3 linked regions of the Caenorhabditis elegans genome follow. The protein of the gene in region 3 interacts with the protein of the main gene of each other region in a pairwise test. Each region holds a gene or a part of one and is shown on either strand. Other genes may lie near its edges.

Region 1 (3,200 bases), on a different chromosome or scaffold from region 3:
GTCTTAAATTTACTTGGAGTTTTCAAATGTGTCAATCTTTTGGTAAAAATATATTTTTTTTAAATCATGCATCAAGAAAGGGTTGGGAAATCTTCAAATTACAGTACCACGAAATGGGATGAGGTTTATATAGTTATCCTATGGAGTTTGTAGTTTTGAAAGGTTCCAAATTTTACAAAAATTGTATGCAGGCACGCCACGCCTTCGTATCTGCCTGCCTGCCTGCCCACCGGTTACATTCCGTGTTTTGGCATGAAATTCGATTTTTAGCTATTTTTATTTTGTCTTTTCAAAAACCTTTTAAAAGTTTCATGAAGTAATAAATACAAAAAAAATGTGAATACTGAGGTTCAGATGAACTGTGGTACATAGGCACACGTGTAGGTACATTGCAGGCAATTTATTATTAACTTCAATATGTTTATGATTACAATTACCAATACAAGTATATCAATCAAGTACTATATAGTTGAGATTCAAAAATTTCCAAAAAGTAAGTTCTACGAGAAACATAAAAGTTCAGATTCTTCGTGGACAGAAAAAGAAAACGAAGAAGAAGATGAGCCAGAAAGTAATAATTGGAAATCGAAAACTAAACATTTTTGGACCGACTCTCTGTGTATTTTAGAGTGTCACGGGCATGGGATAAATTGTGATGCTCTCTTCAGAGCACAAGTGTGACGAGCACACGCACGACAACTGACGTGGCAAATGGATGAAAACGAAGAAAAGAAATTAGAAAAGCCACACGAATCATGTCGGTGAAGTGAGAGGAAAACGACAAAATATTGTGATTTATTGATTTGTGGATAGAAGAAAACTCGTAACTTTATAAAAGACTATTTAAAGTTATCAAGAAAATTTTATAATAAAATCAGAGGTTTGCGCTTGAAGAAGATACGTATATCAATTAGATATTATTTCCAATTCAGATTAAGTACTATCTTAGAATACTGTTTACTTTTTTGGTTTCCATTTTCCAAAGTCCGTGCAATATCTCGAACTTTCAGCAGACACATTACTTGGTAGACATCTTTCGGTCTCAAATGCATTGTCTAAAACCTTTCGGATGTAGAATTATTTTAAAATTTGATTTGCATTTTGAATTCAGCTAAATTTGGCATAAAAACATTATTTCGTTCAGATCACAATTTATTGGTTTACAACAATTGTTTTTGGTTTCCGCTTTTTCTTCCTGTAAAATGCAAAATCCTGAAAAAATATATCGTGAAAATGTTTGGGATTCATTTATCGACTGTTAAACTTTAATTTTCCAATTTTATGCTAAAATTGCTCGAATAAAACTCGTTTTGAAACGGCGATTGAATTGGAACTTCCCGCGACAACGTTGGAAACGAGAGACGCAGACAAACGGGGTTAAAGGCACACCGAATTTACAAGACGAGATATCTCGCCGCGAAAGTTACCAGCACTCTCAGAATTGAGGCCCAATTCCCACTTTCTTTTTGTAAAATCAATTTTTTTGCGTTTTTTTTACGAATTTGGCCTAAAATTTGTATATTTACGCGAACAAAAAATTAAATTTGATTTGTTATCATTGATTTTTTGTCATATTCATAACGAGAACGTGTCCAAAACTTGGAAAATAATTTAGGACGATTTTCCATCATCGTTATTAAAATTTTAATATTTCTTGATTTTCTTGTTGGTTATAGTAACGTTACTCAATATTTATATATTTCTTGTTATTTTTTTAAATCATTTTTTAAACTATACTGAAGTTGTTATTTTGCAGGATGGCCGATAACTGGGGATCTGAAAACGTCGTCGCCGACGCCGCTCCGGCTACCGAAGCTCCAGAGGTTTGTATTTCGTATTTGGTTAAAAATTGCATTTAAAAAATATTGATAAAAATATTTCCAAAAAGAGTAAAACAAAAAATTAAATTAATTTTTACAGGTTGCTCTCTTCGGAAAATGGTCGCTCCAGAGCGTGAATGTATCCGACATCTCCCTTGTCGACTACATTCCAGTTAAGGAGAAGTCCGCCAAGTACCTTCCACATTCGGCTGGACGCTTCCAAGTCCGCCGTTTCCGCAAGGCCGCTTGCCCAATCGTCGAACGTCTCGCCAACTCCTTGATGATGCACGGACGCAACAACGGAAAGAAGCTTATGACCGTCAGAATCGTCAAGCACGCCTTTGAGATCATCTACTTGCTCACCGGAGAGGTATATCATTGATTAAATGTAGAAATTTTATTTTACCACGTTTCTATTCAGAACCCAGTCCAAGTTTTGGTCAACGCCGTTATCAACTCGGGACCACGTGAAGACTCCACCCGTATTGGACGTGCCGGAACTGTCCGCAGACAAGCTGTTGACGTTGCCCCACTCAGAAGAGTCAACCAGGTATATTAATTTTCCTGGTGATTCGTTTAATCATTTAGTTCTTTTTAGGCTATCTGGCTTCTCTGCACTGGAGCTCGTGAGGCTGCCTTCAGAAACGTTAAGACCATCGCCGAATGCTTGGCTGATGAGCTCATCAACGCCGCCAAGGGATCCTCCAACAGCTACGCTATCAAGAAGAAGGATGAGCTCGAGCGTGTCGCCAAGTCCAACCGATAAGCAACTTGTTGTTTTTCTTTATCCGGTTGTCCGGCAACTGATAAAGTATTGTTTGTTCATACTATTTGTTTTCTGTTCATCAATTTTTTCGCATTATAATCCTGTCATTCTCAGATGTTCCACATTACTATTCTGTACGCGTAGAACATGCGCTCCACCGCAATACACAATAGTGCACAATTTCCCCCCTTGCGTTTCAGGATATTTTTCGGGTATGCGTCATGTACTATTGATTTTCTGTGCAATAATTGCAACCGAAGCTCTTCTTAACACAGGTCTACAGCTGAAAATTGATGAATTATTCGACACCCCAGGTTTCGGTTCGAAAGAAGTTCCGGTTTGAGTGAAAAGGTTACAGGTCACACAAATAACTGGGCCGTTCTCGTATGCACATCGAAATTTTGGTTCAACTATCGTCATGTCTCCAACGTTTTGGCTCTTTATCACTCAATCAAACGATTAGGTATTCCTGACAGGTTAGAATATATCGGAAAACTAAAGTAAATGTAATTTAATTTAAGTAATATTATAATGATGCTGGCAGAAGACGTACCATGTAATTCAAGAAATCCGCGGCCTGGAACGGTTTACGCCGCCAGAGCGGGAACAAATCT
Region 2 (3,758 bases), on a different chromosome or scaffold from region 3:
TGAAACTTACGGCATATTCATTTTTCGTCGCGTCGTACATAATAGATTGCGCTCCTCTGTTTTCATTGGCACCAATTCGTATTCCACGGAACTTGCAACCACCAATTAGTTCGGTGTAGAACTTACTGAAAATATTTCGGAATAATCTACGTAGAAAACACTTACACAACGTCGTTCTCTTCTAAGCATGGATTTCCCGCTGTTTCGTTGACTACAAAAACAGCACAGCAAAGTTCTTTTTCGGGAACCACATTCAATTGTTTTTCTTGAAATCCACGAATCACTGGTGTCATTTTAATTTGTTCATTTACACTATTCACAAGCATTGGCTCTTTCAAAACCTTTCCTGGACATTCGATCATCTGAAGTTTGGAGCATAATCCAAATCTTTCAACAAAATTTAGCTCTTCAGAAGAGAAATCCAATTCTTTCAGCATTTTTAGGGTATTTTCTTTGTAGTCGTGAGGTTTTCGTGTAGCTCGCTTTAGAAACTTGTCTTGCATCACCAGATCAATTCGATTCTTGTATCTTTGTGGCTTCTCATGAACTTCAAGATGTTCCATTGGTACAGCGTATTCTTTTGCTCCACTTTTAACTTTGACTAGTGGTAGGTGGGGAAACTCAATGAACTTTTTGTTTTCCTCATAGATTTTGAACAATGTAGTATCGTACTTTTTTGCATTTCTTCCTCTGTCCGATTTACCAGTGACTTTATAAACAAGAGAGTTTTCCTCGCACAAATCTAGAAATGTCAGATGTCGTTCTGTCAATCTCGACCTGAAAATCAATTTGTATATTAATTGTTTGAATAATTTAAACTAACATTTCGTTATCCCAAACTTCTGCGCATTTCAGCTTCAAATTTTCCAATAATTGTCGAATTCTTGGCCGCGCGGCTTGTCTGATTGTCATTTTTCCCGCCATCAGTTTTGTTTTAAGATCTTTTCGTACATCATCGTTACACGACTGGGGGTCGACAATTAGGAGAAGATAATCCAGAAGAGACATTTTCGGTGCATTGTAGAATAGTTTATCGACAACTTCAACAAAAATCACATGATTTTTTATCGCAGTTTCTCAAACTTACTTGCAAAATTGAGCACAGGTTCACCATCGAACAATTCTTTGATTCCAATGTAAATTCCAAACCATGCTTCGATTCTTGGTGCTACTTCTAATGATTGTTCGAATCTGTTTGGATCGTGAAACGATTCAGGAACTCGCAGAATTGAATTATTATCGTACACAAAATTTTTCGCGAATTGTCTTAAAATATATAAATGAGTTGAGGTGATTATTATTATTATTATTGCAACTCACACTTTAATCTCCTCGTTCACAAAAGGCGCGTAGCGAACTTTCTGGGTCATAACATTCTGAAAGCTAATTTTGTTTGTTATAATGCGTGTTTTTCATAAACCTTCAGGAATTTGTAACTCCGATTCGCTTCTTCGTCTTTTTCCGGATTTTCTCGACTAAAGTTCAGGTGAAATTTTTTACGATAGGTAAGTATCATTGTGTATAAGATTTTTTTCTCCAAATCCTTTTCATCTTTTTTCTCCGAATCCTTTTTTACTACTTTCTCCGAAACCAGCATTTTTGATGTGACAGTGTTCAGTCGACAAACACTATAAACAGTGTCCTTTTCATCAAAAACATAGTCTTCGAGAATAAAATCTGTCTGCTTCTTCTCATGCCGAAGATGTTGCCAGAAGAGTTTTGCACGATCGGGACTGAAAAATAAAATTAGTTTTGACTAATTTACAAGCACTTACATTGGAATTTCTGTCTTTTTTGGGAAAGGTTTTCCTGGTTTTCTATTCAATACTTCCTTTGTCATTTTCACTTCATACTCGTAGTATTCCCGATCGTAAATTTTGCTGGAGAACTTGAACCAATTTACCAAAAGAAGTACTTTCTTCTCATAGAATTTGCCGTCGCATTTACCAGTGGGCCTCGCAAGCCATTTCATCTCCTATAATATTAATATCAAACTTATATATCTTATAGCTGCTAATAATTGATCATACCGGATCGAGAGAATGACGATAAAATCCTTTTTCCAATTCGGGAAAATTCGAGGACATGTTTCATCACTTTGTGGCTGTTGATTATCTAGAAATTACCAATAAACAACGTTTATGATTAAAAAAGAAGTATATTTGATAATTGAAGATAGAAAAAGTTAAGTTTTAATCTCTAATTAAGTTGAACAGTGTTACAAGGCATTTTTAAGCGAGAAAAAATGTTTTTTGAAAATATTTTTAGCATGAGGAATGTCGTCATTTGCGCTGTTTCCTCCGCAATACTTCGTCCCCGTGTTTGCAGAACCACTCTTTCCAATTTATTTATTTTTTATTTCCCTTCAAGAAATTTTTTATGGCGTTTCCTTTTGATATTTTACATTTGGAAATTATCCGTTCAACTTTGGAAAGTGAAAAAGATCGATGTGAAGCAAAGGAAAAGTTTGGAACAGTGAGTTTTTCTTGATTTCTGAGTTTCAATTTATTTTATTGGAAATCACTTTTCAGATTATCGATAACTTGAATGGTCCAGCTGATATTGAAAAGTACGAAAGCTTAGTTCAAAAAGCTTTTCTTCACGTAAGTTAAATGTTAGAATACGTCTTCCAATGTGTGTTCTTCAGGCAAATGCAGAGACTAAACTTGAGTCGATCGGATTCAGAGTTGGAAGGCAGCTCGTGGAAAAAGTATCAAAAGAGTCTCCGAAATTGGTCACTGAGTTAGAAGTAAGAATTTTGTGACAAGTTTTATCCGGTTGTAATTTAAAAAAATCAGATTGTAAAGTTCATTTGCAAGGATTTCTGGTCATCAGTGTTTGGCAAGCAAGTCGATAATCTCCGCACAAATCATCAGGTATATTATTTTTCAAACGATTTTATTTCCAAAACTTATATCTTTCAGGGTGTCTATGTTGTTCAAGATGGAAGATTTACAACGCTGCGAAGTTTTCCCGAAGGTGATCAATACGTGAAAGAAAGTGGATATTTCCTTGCTTTTCCATGTGGTTTACTTCGCGGAGCCCTTGCTGGTCTTAATATTAGAGTGAGTTCTTTCTTTTTTTGCGTAATCTACGTTTGTTCGTTTCAGGCAATTGTAACTCCAACAATCGAAAGTGTACCTTCTGTGAAGTTTCATATTCAAGTTCAACCAAAATAGTATTTTTCACATGTCAATTAATTTATGGATTTTTGTATATAGTTTATTTAATTTTTGAGAATAAATAAAGAACACCGGTAACCTTGATGACATCGAAGTAATAGAAATAGAAGAAAACATTATAATTGAAAAAGTTCATATATTCCCACCGAAGACTATATTTTGGTTACAGGAAACCAAAAACCTAGTTTTGCATTTTTGGAAATTTGGTGGAGCAAGTTCGGCTCCAATAAAGGCTGCAGCCGGTCCCATTCCAATGCTAAATACAAAAGTGAATAAAAAGAATAATTTTATAACGAAAACAAGTAGTTACACAGTCGCGATTCTTTGCGTCAAAAACACAAGCGGGCGTGCTCCTTCAAAGGTTACTGTAAGTTAAAACTCGTGGAATTTTCATCGACTTTTCATAGTTCTTCTCACGATTTGTTATTATCAAAATATAAAAACTGTCACCTCAAATTTGACTGCAGCAACGCGCGCGAAATTTTCGCTCTCGATTCCGCATGCCGTAAAAACAGTTGGGACCACGGTCTCGCGGGTGATGACAGAAGCGGGAGAAGAGAAAACGCTAGAAACATC
Region 3 (3,758 bases):
ATGTAATGCCATGCGCCAAAGCATGCAAACTTAAGAGATCATCAAAAAGAAAGCGTAATTCGAAAAATTAAATTTCTATATTTGTAACATTTTCTTCCTGAATTTGAATATGATTCTCAAAAAAGCCCCTTGTTGATTGCCAATTTTAATTTAATTTTTTTCTTCGAATAAACTATTTTAAATTTAAAAAAAAGTGAGTTTGCACATTTTTTGGAACCAGCTTTTGCTGAAAAAAAATGTGTCCCACGATTTTGAACGTCGCTCACTGTATCAATTTTCGAAATTCTTTTCTCTCTACATGAAACAATACTACGTCCATTTCAAGCTCTCAAAATCTAACAGCACAGTTTCAAATTCAAAAACACGAAATGATTGAGAAATAGAGATGCTCTTTTCAGATGGATTACTTTAATTCAATCTCTGCAGCTTTACTTAAACAACGCAGGTAGGAGGCAGATACTGTCGATCAGAGCGGAGCATTGAGCTTCACGTAGCCTGGCTGTCAAATTGTTTCAGTTGTCCATCCATGCACCATGTCTCCTCCGCCGTCGACACAGTAGGGTTTCCAGTCACTTCCAGCTACTTGTTCCAATCCACATCCTGACGTTAATTTCCAATCGATTCAGTTGTACTTCCTGAAATAAACACCAATATGACATTATTTGTAAATGTATTGAGGCAAGCCATCTACAAGCTTATGAGTTTAACAACAAACTTACAAAATAGCTCCCACTTTGGAGTTGTCTTCTTTTTCCTCTGTCTCCTCTATTTATCCTTTGAACGTTTCGTCTTGAGTAGTTTGTCCGGGGGGTTTTTGTGACATATGCCAGTATGAGTATCTGAAAAAAAAGGTTCATACTCTCAATACTCAAAAAGCTGTAAACTTTATGTTTTATAACATTTTAAAACATCAGATTTACACCTCTGACCCGCACTCACTTTAATATTCCGTTTGGTTGAAGTGAACTGGTTTCCAATTCACACACGACTGTAGGTAAATCGGCTCCATCGTCCGAGGTCCACTCGGAGGTTCCTTGCATACTCATATCTTCGTTCACAGCATCGGAATTGTTGAATTGGCATCATCTTCCCATCCTTCTTGGCAGACCATTTGTTGAAAAGTTGAAGACTGAACACTATGACTAAAACTACTTGCTCATATACCAGTCCTTATCAAGATGTACGTGGTCGTTCAAATAAAAATATTTTTTTAAATTGTTTTCCGTATACCGTATATCCTCTATTAGTAAGACGTGCAAAACTAATTTTCGGACACCTAATTTGATGCAAAACTAATAGAGGGTGCAAAACTAATTTTCAAACAGGTTTTTTCTCATGTTTCCCATTAAGTTATAGCAAATATCATCAATTTCAGTAACACCTTATGAACCAAAATGGACTAATTAATTCCACTAAATTCTTGTATTGAATATAAAACTTGTGAATCTCATTGCCTTTTGAAAATTTGATTTGAAACTTGTTAATTTTTTAATCTAAATATTCCTGATTCTGTCATAAATGGTCGTGTTATTTCGTTCTCTAGACCCCTGTGACATCAATTATTTGAAAATCTAGTTTTGACTATAGTTTTTAATTGCAAAACGACTTTCGAAGCGAAATTTAACAAATTTCATTTTACCCCCAAGGTATACGGTAGACAAGTACGCAAACACCAACAACAATATTGCACACATTACACAGAAGTTGCCGACAGTTTGCTAAATCAATGGGATTTTTTTACAGCAGTTTTTCCTTTCTTCACGATAAATCGTTCTGAAAAAGTAATTAAAATTGTTATTTTAGTGTAAAATTTAAAAATTAAATTATTGTTTTCAAAATGCGCGATTTTAAATATTGCAATCTTCATTACGTAGGATTTTTCCGCACTTGAATTCTCCAAATGTTCTCGAAATTTATTGAAAAGCTTTAGAAGCCATGAAGTTTCTGGAAAGCTCCGAAATGGATGTTTTTTCGCAGACACTCGTTACGGGAGCAATCGATTGTGTTATTGATTTCAAGTGAGTCATTTATCTCAATATTAAGAATAAAACAAATCGTTCAATTTCAGATTAGAAACGTATTCGTCGAAAATGGTTACTAGCGAAAAGAAACAATGGAAATCGAACGATAAATCTGTGATATGGGGTGAACGCCAGCCTCTAGGATCTTACGAGGAAATGGTGATGAGTGCATCGCCCAGTGTTGGTCACAATCATCGGCTTCGCCATTTATCGGAACGCTCGTGCTCAGGAGGATCAGACAACGATTTCGACGTGAATGACTACCTGATAAAAGACTCAATTTCGCGAAAGAAATTGTATGATCTGACTCAAGTTCTGAACTGTTCGTTTCCGGATCACGATTTCAGTAATGCCAACAGTGAAGCGTTTGCTCTCGTCAATTATTCGGTTAGTAGCTTCTTACAGCTAAATAACATTAACGCGCATGATTTTTCAGGACCTGAGCCGTCTCGTTGATATGAAGCTTGAGACAATTGTCAGAGACTATCACGTGAGAAGAGAAGAGCTATGGGGAATTATTGATGAGGCAATTGTGCCCGGTGACTGTCAAATATACAGGTATTCCGTTTGATTTGAGAGGATATTTTATATAATTTCCATATTTTTCAGCTTCAAGTCCCAATTCGAAGACGATCCGTTTACCGAAGACGGTTGCATTTGGGCACTTGCCTTCATTTTCTACAACAAAGGACTCAAACGTTTTGTTCTTCTCACAATTCGTTGCCTATCGAAACAAGCCGACACGTCCATCGAAATTTTCCCCGATTTCAGTGAAGACGAGGCGGAACCACAAGAGAAATAGAGTGCAGATTATTCATGTAGAACGCTTAGAATAGACTAATATTCAAGGCGATATAGTATTAGTCTTGCCGGCCAAGCCTCTTTCCCTCTTGTAGTTCTTCTCTTGTAAATAGATTCCATTTCTCATCAATCCTCAACCTCCTCCTTCACCTCTCGAGTTCGCATTTAATTTGCCACTTCCCACACACCTACCGCTAGATTAAAGGAACAAATACTTCGATTCTCATTCCTTTTCGTGGCTCGTAGATATCAATTTTCACAAAAACCGCATCATAAATACATAAAATTGTTTTTTTTAAGTTAATCAAAATCGATTATTTTTTGGTTTCAACCGTTCTGATATTTTAATCAATTTTTCCTCAAATTTATTTGGTTAAGTTCAGTTTAATTTATTTTCAGTGAAATAATGCCGAGCACATCAATGATCGAAGATCGTTCTGAGATCGAACGTCGGCGATTCGAATATCTCGATCATCCGGCAGATATTCAACTTCACTCTTGGGGATCCACAATGGAAGAAGCCTTCGAAGCATGCCTCGTATCAATGTTCGGCTATATGACGGATTTGGCCAAGGTTGATGAGGTAATTTGAAATTGAATTAGATCGCCTCTTGCGCCTTTTAAGAATTTTTCCACTTTCCTCTGTTTTGTCTAATTTTTCTTACTTCACTTGAAATATGCTTATGAACATATGAAATTGCAATTTAAATCGATATCTTGTAGAAATTTTAGCTTTTGTTCGTGTATTCTCTAGTTTTGAAGCTGCTCCCAGAAAAAAGCTCAATTTTTGCCTTCTTGACTTCATTTTCGAACAAAACCCACAATTTCTACAAGAAACTGATTAAAATAAAATTTTAATTTTGCATTATTTCAGATGTACGAATTCTACTGGAAAGCTTCTGGCGATAGCTTAGATGGTCTCCTATTTCAGTTTCT

Evidence for each region.
Region 1: the proteins of mafr-1 (region 3) and rps-5 interact in a two-hybrid assay, tested with the Caenorhabditis elegans proteins (one large-scale study listed by BioGRID).
Region 2: the proteins of mafr-1 (region 3) and rde-1 interact in a two-hybrid assay, tested with the Caenorhabditis elegans proteins (one large-scale study listed by BioGRID).

What each region holds. Positions count from the first base shown.
Region 1 is NC_003282.8:11,109,602-11,112,801, reverse strand, and holds rps-5 (Small ribosomal subunit protein uS7), read left to right. Parts: upstream 1-1,756; 5' UTR 1,757-1,757; coding exon 1,758-1,823; intron 1,824-1,920; coding exon 1,921-2,190; intron 2,191-2,241; coding exon 2,242-2,370; intron 2,371-2,418; coding exon 2,419-2,586; 3' UTR 2,587-2,700; downstream 2,701-3,200. Other genes in the region: pigk-1 (Putative GPI-anchor transamidase), read left to right, coding at 2,801-2,900, 2,945-3,062, 3,108-3,200. UniProt on the Caenorhabditis elegans protein: Component of the small ribosomal subunit. The ribosome is a large ribonucleoprotein complex responsible for the synthesis of proteins in the cell. Part of the small subunit (SSU) processome, first precursor of the small eukaryotic ribosomal subunit.
Region 2 is NC_003283.11:9,989,528-9,993,285, forward strand, and holds the start of rde-1 (Piwi domain-containing protein), read right to left. Parts: upstream 2,116-3,758; 5' UTR 2,088-2,115; coding exon 2,031-2,087; intron 1,976-2,030; coding exon 1,776-1,975; intron 1,734-1,775; coding exon 1,421-1,733; intron 1,377-1,420; coding exon 1,321-1,376; intron 1,267-1,320; coding exon 1,088-1,266; intron 1,041-1,087; coding exon 824-1,040; intron 778-823; coding exon 166-777; intron 126-165; coding exon 11-125; intron 1-10. Other genes in the region: trpp-6 (Trafficking protein particle complex subunit 6B), read left to right, coding at 2,380-2,475, 2,532-2,603, 2,648-2,749, 2,799-2,876, 2,925-3,065, 3,111-3,179.
Region 3 is NC_003279.8:10,621,243-10,625,000, forward strand, and holds mafr-1 (Repressor of RNA polymerase III transcription MAF1), read left to right. Parts: upstream 1-1,930; 5' UTR 1,931-1,935; coding exon 1,936-2,018; intron 2,019-2,068; coding exon 2,069-2,408; intron 2,409-2,457; coding exon 2,458-2,579; intron 2,580-2,630; coding exon 2,631-2,823; 3' UTR 2,824-3,119; downstream 3,120-3,758. Other genes in the region: Laminin subunit alpha lam-3, read left to right, coding at 1-71; arch-1 (Protein archease-like), read left to right, coding at 3,229-3,405, 3,697-3,758.